Coturnix japonica: one gene and its partner. The protein of the gene in region 1 interacts with the protein of each later gene in a pairwise test. Links are inferred from orthologs where the notes say so. Each region holds a gene or a part of one and is shown in the gene's direction. Other genes may lie near its edges. The genes, in order: MYCBPAP and MYCBP.

Region 1 (4,599 bases):
AGTCACTGGACGATGCTGAGCTGCGGCTGCTGGGCCGGGACCACACGGCGGCGGAGGCGCGTGCGGCGGTGGATGCGGCTCGGCAGCTGTTCCCCGGCCGCACCTCCCTCGATCTCATTTTCGGGCTCCCGGGGCAGAGCCTGCAGGGCTGGGAGCGCGGCCTGGAGGCGGCGCTGGGGCTGTGCGACCACCACCTGGCGCTGTACCAGCTGACGCTGGAGCGGGGCACGAAGCTGGAGGCTCATGTGCGGCGGGGGGTCCTGCCTGAGCCCCCCGAGGAGCTGCTGGCCGACATGTACCTGAGCGCCCGCACCGCGATGGCGGCCGCCGGCTTCCACCAGTACGAGGTGTCCAACTTTGCCCGGCAGGTGAGGAGCCCCCGCCTGGTGCCCCCACCGCGGGCGCAGCCCCTCCTCACTGACCGCACCGCTGTCCTGCAGGGCGCCCACAGCGCACACAACGTGTCCTACTGGCGGGCAGAGCAGTACGTGGGTGTGGGGCCGGGTAAGTGCTGGGGCTGGTATTGGTAACTATGCGGGGCTGTGTGTGCCCTGCGCCCTGTCCGCTCTCTGCACCGTCCGTTCTCTGCTCCCTCGCAGGGGCTCACGGCCGCTTCGTGCCGTGGGGTGAGGGCGGCCGCGTGCGGGAGGCACGTGTACAGACACCGCACCCTGACACGTGGATGCGGGAGGTGCGGAGCTGCGGGCACGGCACCCGGCGGAGAGCAGCGCTGAGCCCGCTGGAGCAGTGAGCATCGGGATGGGGCCGGGGGTGGGGGGTCCTTTGTGCTTCCCCCGTCCCTACACCCGCCGTGCCCGCAGGCTGCAGGAGCTGCTGGCGCTGGGGCTGCGCACGGCTGAGGGCGTCACGCATCAGGTGAGCGGCGGGTGAGCGGCGGGCAGCGCAATAAGGAGCCGCCGCTGAACATCCATCCCCGCAGCGATGGGGGGTTTTCTCCCCACGGCTGAGCCTGGACGCCGCGTTCGGGGCGTCGGGGGAAGCGGCAGAACTGCAGGAGAACGGCTGGGTGCGGCTGGACGGACGGTGAGCGGCGGGGCGGGCACGGGGCGGGCAGCGATGCGGGCACGGGGCGGGCAGCAATGCGGGACGGGCCTGAGCTGTGTGATGCTGAGCCGTGTGATGATGCTGAGCTGTCCCGTCCCGTCCCGTCCCATCCCGTCCAGGTCTCTGCGCTGTTCCCCTGCCGGGCTGCCCGTGCTGGACTCGCTGCTGCCCGCTCTGCTGCGGCAACTGCGGCACCGCTGGGAGCAGATGGAGCAGGACGGCGGGGGACGGAGCGCGGGATGAGCCGCGCGGTGCGGGGCGATGCGGGGCGGGCGGATGGAGCGGAACAACAGCGGCTCCATCACAGCATCGACATCCCGCGTGGGTCTGTGCCGGGAGCGGGGCGGGGCGGAACCATAGAGTAGCACCGTAGAGTGGCACCATAGAGCGGCGGCGTTGGGGCCGCTCTGTCCGCTCGTCTCGGTGGTGGCCGCCCGTTGCCATGGCTGCGGTGTCGCCGTTCCGCGGGATGCCGGGCTCGGGCCGCACGCCGCGCAGGAGGGAAGGGCGAGGGAAGGGCCGGAACGCGTCCCCAACCCCGTCCGGTACCGGAACCACCGGAACCACCTCCATCATTAAACCCGGGGCCGCGTCCCAGGCGGTGCACGGCTGCTCCCGGCGCTGACCCGGCCCGTCGTTGTGCGTTTCAGAGCCGCCGGAGCCGGCCCGGCCCGAACCCGAGGAGCCGCGTCCCGCGCTGTGTCCGCTGCGGGTCCGGGATGTGCGAGAACTGGCGGTGCGGGACGAGGAGCTGCACAGAGTGAGAGCGGGGCGGGACACGGCACCGAGCTGCGATGTACTGCAATGCAATGCAATGTAATGCAATGGAATGCAATGTAATGCAATGCAATGTAATGCAATGCAATGTAATGCAATGCAATGGACTGCAGTGTAATGCAATGCACTGTGCTGTGCTGTACTGCAATGCAATGCGATGCACTGCACTGTGTTGTGCCGCTGCTGGCCCCGTCCCTTTGCACTGTGCAGGGCAGCGTTCAGCATCGAGCAGCACAGGAAACTATGGGGAACTTTCGGCTCCTTCCCCTGCCCCGGTTGTAACGTGGGCTCAGAGCAGCGGGCTGGGAACTGCCCGGTGTCTGCAGTCACATAAGACAAAGCAGCGGCCTCACATTGCACCCGGCTGGGAAGGCTCATGGTGCAGGTTCATGGTGCAGGTTCATGGTGCAGGTTCATGGTGCAGGTTCATGGTGCAGGCTCACATTGGGTGCTGGGATCAGTTTCTCCCCCAGCTGATGGGGCTCCCCGTGTGTCCGGGTGGGTCAGAAGGAACACAGAGGTCACTTTGTACCTAGTGCTGTGGTTGTTGCCCGCAGCTCCACGCTCCTCGCCCGCCCCGCGATGCCGGGAGGATCCTGGTCAGGAGGAAATTCCTCGTCCGGAAACACCAGCCCAGGTTGGCCAGGAAGGCAGCGCAGCTCCTGGTGGCACGGCCGGCCTTCACAAGGACAGCCCGGGAGCCGCCGCGCTTCTCCGGTAGGGTTGAGCTTCAGTCTGCCCTTGGTTTTTGGCTGTGACGAGCCCAGATGTGCTTAGTGAGCTGCTCCGGGGCTGGTGTCTTTGTAGGACCGGCACCGTTCAATGCGGGCTGTGAAGAAATTCTTCCTCACCACGTGCTGGGAAGTCTCCAGGAGCTGGAGATGGAAGCCTTGGCCAGAGGAAACACTCAGGTTGAATATAAAAGTGCTTTTTGAGGGGTGAATGATGATGTGTGATGATGATTTCAGCACCTGTCACACACACATCAGGCCTGAGGATTGGGGTTAATTCCTGAGGATTGGGGTTCATTCCTCATCATTCTGTGGGGAGGGTTTGCCTGCAGAGAAACTGCATAGTGGGTTTTGAGGTCCTGTGTGCAGGCACAGAGTGTGGAGGGAAGACTGACAGGAGCTTCCTCTTGTGTTTGTGCTGATGGGATCAGGCGTCTTTGGGAGAGCTGGGGCTGCAATAACGTCACTGCCTGAGTTCAGTTACTTGGCTCAATCCATCATTTCTGAGTGTGTTCTTAGTGCCCCATCTTTGTACCTCCCTGTGGTCCATGAAGGTGCTGCAGCCTGAAGGATTCTCTCTGCTCCCATCCTCCGTTTCTGGCTGTACCTGCAGTGTGTGCACTGGGAGGTCAGTTTTGCTGTTTCTTTTCAGATGGTGGATCTCATTCAGGTTCCTCGTCAACGTGTTGCTGCATTGTTAAAAGAGCAGCGTGGAGGGGAGACAAAGAGAAGGTTTCGTCAGAGCCCAACATCAGAACACAAAGCTCTGCAGAACTGGCACCGCAATATGGCAATCAGGAAGAAGCAGGAGAGGAATCTGGGAGGTGAGAGGATGAGGGACCCTGTTCTGTGAGATTCTGGGTGCACATGAGGCTGTTTGATGGCTGCACAGCACACAGCAATGGCCAGAACCAACCTGGGTTAGTCCTGCTGCTGCCACTGACCTGAGTTCCCTGGGCTCCCTGTGCTGTGGGTGCTGCTGCCCGTGGTGGCCCTGCAGGGCGAGCTGCTGGTTCTGGCTGCAGGAAACACAGTGGGCTTGATGAGGGTGGTATAAGGGGTTTACACATTGAAAATAGTAAAGGATCTGCCCAGAGAAGCACAGTGCCTTTCATATTCCTTTATAGAAATTCTTCAGAAGCCAGAGAATGAGCTGCTGATGAGCATCGTGGAGGGTTACAGACAGATCCAGGAAGAACGGGACCTCATTGACCGTAATCTCGCTGCTCTGCTTCCTGGGAAGGTGAGAGCCCCCTTCCTTTGCCTCCTGGCTGCTCCGTTCTTGTGAAGGAGCTGAGGTGCTGCTGCTGCAAATACGAGCCGCGCAGATCTGTCCTCAGATCATTGCCAAAGTCCTTCCATGCAGAGAGGGGGATATGGGGCAGGGGGTGATTATTTATGGTCTTCTAAAACATTTGCACGGGCAGAGCGAGGTACCACCTTCTTTTCAGCTGCCAGTCCCTGTGGAAGTGGCAAACAGCTGCACATCCCTGAGGGTGCTGGTTGGAGCATTGTTTTTCCATAGGGCTACCGAGTAGGAAGTGAGTTCTGGAGCCAACCTGAGCGCATTGGGGATGAGCTGACGGGTCTGACGGTGACACTGACACGGACAGAACGGGGCTGCCCTGAGCCTGTCACCCACGTGGGGAAGCCCCACACTGTTAAGATGGAAACAGGTAAGGGAGTGTGCAGGGAGCAGCAGGACGAGGTGATCCCTCCCAGTGGTACAGAGGCTGCTTCCCAGTTGCCTTTGGTTGGGCCTGCAGTAAGCACAGGGCTGGTGTGGGCTGCTGCACGAGCACTGCAGTGCTGTAAGTGCTGCGGCACACCTTGGGTGCTGTGTGCAGGGCTGAGTGAAATAAGTAGGTGGTGAGCTCCTGTGTGGGTGCTCCAACAGATGAGAAGCCTCCAGAGAGGATCCCGTTCCGTCTGACCTGGGATAAGAGCCTTTTCCTGAAGCAGCGGCGGCAGGAACTGAAATGTATCCTAGAGGAGCTGGGTTTTTATAAGCCAGTAAGTCTGAGGA
Region 2 (4,494 bases), on another chromosome or scaffold:
GCTCTTCTCTGGGAATATCTGCAACTCCTCCAAAAACTCTCCCTTCTGTACTTGGTGGTTATGCCTTTTTAATGGAGAAGCAAACAGACACTGCCATCTACCCAGCCTTAAACTCTGCTCCCATCTTCCAGCCCATTCAAAACAACCACGCAGAAAACAGAGGCAATTACACCCAGCACAACCAGGAAAACAAACTGCCCAAGAAAAGGCCAGCTACGAATGCTTTAGCTGGTCAGACTCCGAATGCCAGCACAGAGTGCAGGGAAGGTTTGCTGGGCAGACCTGCGACTGAAAGGAGGAACTCGCAGAAAGAAGCTGATCAGAAACACCTCCTTGCTGGTACTCAGAATGCAGATACAGCTTCGAGAAGCTTTGCTGAGATGCTGTCGCAGCCTCCCCTGCAGCCTTTTCCTGTTGCCAGCCTCAGAAGACAGCACGGAATCATCTCCTCCTGGAACTGCTGCACAGCAGCTGAGAGTGTTGGATCCTCCACAAACTCCCTTACAAAGAGCAGCAGCAGGAGACGGAGCAGCCTCAGTGCAAGCCAACTGCCCCCCAAAGCTGACACCCGGCACCCCAGCCGCCCCAACACCCCTGATTCAGCAGGGGAGGCCAGCACTGGCTCCAAGCAGAGCAGGGGCTGTGGCAGCCCCCAACCACTGCCCTTATCAGGGCGGCTGTCGCTGTCAAGCAGTGCAAGCAGCCGGAGAGCCCCCACCGACCTGCAGATATAGCATGGCTGCCCAAGCACTGTGCTTGGGTAACTGCTGGGCTTTGTGATAAGAGCAGCCCAGGAGCAGCTTCCTCATTCAGCTTTAACCAGTTCTTCCGCAGAGGTTAAGATAGAAGCTCAGCCCTTTGCTTTTAGCTCAGTAACTTCTTGCTTCGCTGGCGATGGAGGGATGGCTTCAACCTCTGTGCCAATCTTCTGCATTAACCTTCCAGCTAAGGAGAACATATACATCATATACACCATATACATAATATACACCATATACATAATATACACCATACACAACATATACATCATATACACCATATACATCATTTACATCATATATACATCATATACAACATATACATCATATACATCATTTACACCATATACATCATATACATCATATAAATCCACATACAAAGCCACACAGGAGGAGAAGCTGGGATTACAATAGCTGGTAATATGTAAGCAATAAACATAAAAGAACAAATTACAGTCTCAGAATCTATTGTATGGAGACCAGTAAATGAAATGAGGTGGAAGATCCATTCACTGCAGGTGTTTCTCCAGCAGCTGCTGTTTGTGTTCTCAGTGTGTGTGCGTTCAGCTCTGTGTAGATGTAGGGTTGGACATTTTGGATATATTTAGGTGCTATTATGCTCATTTAACCCCATGCTGTGTATGTGAATACCCCATTTGCATTTGACACCTCTATAGCAAAAAACGTGTTGACTTCACAGCTTAAAGAGCAAAGAGACAGCACTGAGGGGCTCGTATGTAGCAGCTCAAGAGTCTGGAAGGTTAGAAAGGAACCCAAAGGGCAGATATAGGGCTCTGAATGGGTTCTTATTGCCAGCCATATAGACCAACATATCTATATAGATACAGGTATAGATACAGGGCCAGGCCGAAGCCTGCAAGCACCGCGCATGCGCAAACCTCCCACAACCGGAAGGCCTAGTCGCAGAGATAGAGACCGGGACTTCCGGTTGGGTCGCCATGCCAACGGTAGGAAGCCGGGGCCGCCATATAAGAGGCGGGCGGTGGCGGTGCGGGCGTTGCGGGGTTAGATGGCGCACCACAAGGTAGGGGCTGCGGGCCCGAGAGGGTGGAGGGGCCTTCCTTATAACCCCCCAAACCCTTGGTGGTGGGGAGGGGTCGAGCTGTGTGTAGGTAGGGATGTGCCGGTGCTCTGACAGTGTGGGCGTCCTCCTTCAGGCCGCGGATTCGAAGAGGGAGCAGTTTCGGCGCTACCTGGAGAAGTCGGGGGTGTTGGATACGCTCACTAAGGGTAAGGAGGATTGAAGGCCTGTATGGGTTGGGTTGGGGCCGAGCAATGGGAATGTGCTGTGCCAGCCCCCTAATACTGGGGTTTAATGGAGGTGTCTGTGCTTATCTGGATAGGAAAGAAAAGCACGTTGAAAGCTCAACGTATTTATCTCTTTCTTATGGCTCACTGTGCTTTAAATGATTGCTAAGGGGTATGATTTAGTGTAGGGTTGTTTTAGGGTTCTGGTTAGGCTGTGGTTGGGCTTGATGATCTTTGAGGTCTTTTCCAATCTGCATAATTCTATGATCCCTTTGTGCTCTCAAGATCCTTTCAACATGGTGTTATATTCCTACTTAATAAAGCACGTTGCTTATGGGGTGTAGCAGCTGTGAGGGGTGTGCTCTGTGCTCAGCCCAGGTGTGTTGGAGCCCTTTGATTTCCTCTGGCTGTGGCTGTGCTGTTGCAATGTGGAAGCAAAACAAATCTTCCAAGCCCTGCAGCAAGCAAGTTTGGCTTCTAACTTTAAGTGTTTAGCTTAAAACTGTGCAGTTTGTGTGGCTGAAAATGGGAGGGAGGCGCTTAAGCTCCTTGAGAAGCATTTATCAAAGCAGAATGGTGGGGTGTGTGTGTGTTATGTCATTCATTTTGTGCTCCATAATCACAGAATGACCCGGGTTGGAAGGGACCTCAAGGATCATGTAGTTCCAACCCCCCTGCCTGGCAGGGCCACCAAACATACACCTTTACTAGATCAGGTTGCCCAGGAGACCCCATAGAGACCCCATAGATCAGGTTGCCCATGGCCCCGTCCAACCTGGCCTTGAACACCTCCAAGGACGGGGCATCCACAACCTCCCTGTGCAGCCTGTTCCAGGGCCTAACCACTCTCCTAGTGAAGAACTTCCCCCTAACATCCAACCTAAATCTTCCCTCTTTTAACTTAAAACCATTTCCCCGTGTCCTGATATTGTCAGCCCTATCGTCCCCTGTGGGTCAAAGAAATCCCTTCTGCCCACCCATTGAAGTATAGGATGCTCTGTTTCACCTTGTGCATGACTAAGATACTATGATGATGATCTCTGTCCTTAACATGAAGGATATAGGTGAGAATCTTGAACATGCTGTGAGCTTGGTGTGCAACTTGTATTTATTCTGTCTGCTGTATGTGTTTTGGAAACTAGAGTTGCATGGATGTCTTATAATGGTTGTTCGTCTTGTATTTGCAGTGTTAGTGGCCTTATATGAAGAGCCAGAGAAACCAAGCAGCGCACTGGAGTATCCTTTCTGTCCTCTATGGGTTGGTTCTTGCTGTTATAAGCAGCCTGTTGAGCTGAGGAAATACTTAACATCACAATATCAGCTTTTTGAAGCATCACCTGGGAGCTTCAGCTCCTGAGAGTCCAGAAATGGAGGCGCTTCGTATGGAACTGGTAGAGCTGAAGGAGAAATACGAAGCTGTGCTGGAAGAGAATGAGAAACTGAAATCCAAAGTAAAAGTCTATTTAGTGTTCAAGTCTTTTTAGTATTCCTAAGTACTTCTGTGTTTGATAAGGGTGCTTTGGCACTTATAATACAGCTAACTTTCACTGCCATAACTGATTATGATGTTATAGGGTTTGGCCTTGGGAATATTATCTCATTCCTTGCCTATATGTAGCTTCTGATGGAAGACTTGTATTCTGAAATGCAGTTTTTGCTAACAAAATAAGTAAATTAAGGGATAGTGGGAAACTCCATCTCATCATTCAGTCCCATTTGTTATCTGATAATGTGTATATGGTTCCATAAGAGCTTTGTAAAGCAGGGCTGGGGGGAAGCTAATGCTTTTCTATTCAGGCATTCCAAAGCAGGAGGGGAAATAGTGTTAGTTATTGAGGCCTGGCATGGGTCTGTGGCTGGGTTTTACCACAGGAGGTCACCCTTTACCCCTATGGAACATTAACATCCAACTCTGCTGCTCCTGTGTCTTTTAAGATGCCCCATCTAACTGATTGCCTCTCTTTAAATCCACAGCTGGCTCAATATGAACCACCTGAAGAAGAGAAGCGTGATGAATAACAGTAGTTTCTCCTTTCGTACCTTGGCTTTATTAATAAAGGGCTTATTGTGAACCGCACTCCTGCTTCTTCTATGTGAGTGCTGTGTGTCTCTGTGGGTATCTCAACTATAAGGACAAGCAGGGGGTGTGCAGCTCTATTTGTGGTCAGTCATTTTACTTCCGTGTGTGTAGGAAGGAGCTGAAAGAGGAAATAACACAGTGTAAGAGTTTCAAAGGCAAAACAACCCCCAACTCTATTGCAGGAGGTAAATTAGAGTGTATAGCATGTGTGTGCAGGCTGAGAAGGGGCTGATCTATGTATATATGGGGCTCCATATATCGGCTCGGCCCCATGTCCCCACCCTCGCCGTCATATGACCGGAGCGTCTCCCAGCACCTCCTCCATCGGCTGCGAGAAGCTTCGTTGTCAACCAATAGGGTCCTAAATGGGTGGGACTTTGCGTTGCA

What was found.
Region 2: the proteins of MYCBPAP (region 1) and MYCBP interact in binary tests that used the Homo sapiens proteins (3 or more experiments, as listed by UniProt). The link is inferred for Coturnix japonica from reciprocal best matches to the Homo sapiens genes MYCBPAP and MYCBP.

The regions. Positions count from the first base shown.
Region 1 is NC_029533.1:9,056,265-9,060,863, reverse strand, and holds the start of MYCBPAP (MYCBP-associated protein), read left to right. Parts: upstream 1-1,534; coding exon 1,535-1,610; intron 1,611-1,691; coding exon 1,692-1,825; intron 1,826-2,399; coding exon 2,400-2,559; intron 2,560-2,649; coding exon 2,650-2,753; intron 2,754-3,225; coding exon 3,226-3,397; intron 3,398-3,700; coding exon 3,701-3,816; intron 3,817-4,098; coding exon 4,099-4,249; intron 4,250-4,470; coding exon 4,471-4,586; intron 4,587-4,599. Other genes in the region: RSAD1 (radical S-adenosyl methionine domain-containing protein 1, mitochondrial), read left to right, coding at 3-368, 441-504, 600-747, 822-876, 941-1,044, 1,185-1,308. UniProt on the Homo sapiens protein: May play a role in spermatogenesis. May be involved in synaptic processes.
Region 2 is NC_029538.1:2,899,095-2,903,588, forward strand, and holds MYCBP (C-Myc-binding protein), read left to right. Parts: upstream 1-1,694; 5' UTR 1,695-1,788; coding exon 1,789-1,803; intron 1,804-1,936; coding exon 1,937-2,009; intron 2,010-3,214; coding exon 3,215-3,263; intron 3,264-3,348; coding exon 3,349-3,478; intron 3,479-4,001; coding exon 4,002-4,046; 3' UTR 4,047-4,104; downstream 4,105-4,494. Other genes in the region: GJA9 (gap junction alpha-9 protein), read left to right, coding at 1-734. UniProt on the Homo sapiens protein: May control the transcriptional activity of MYC. Stimulates the activation of E box-dependent transcription by MYC.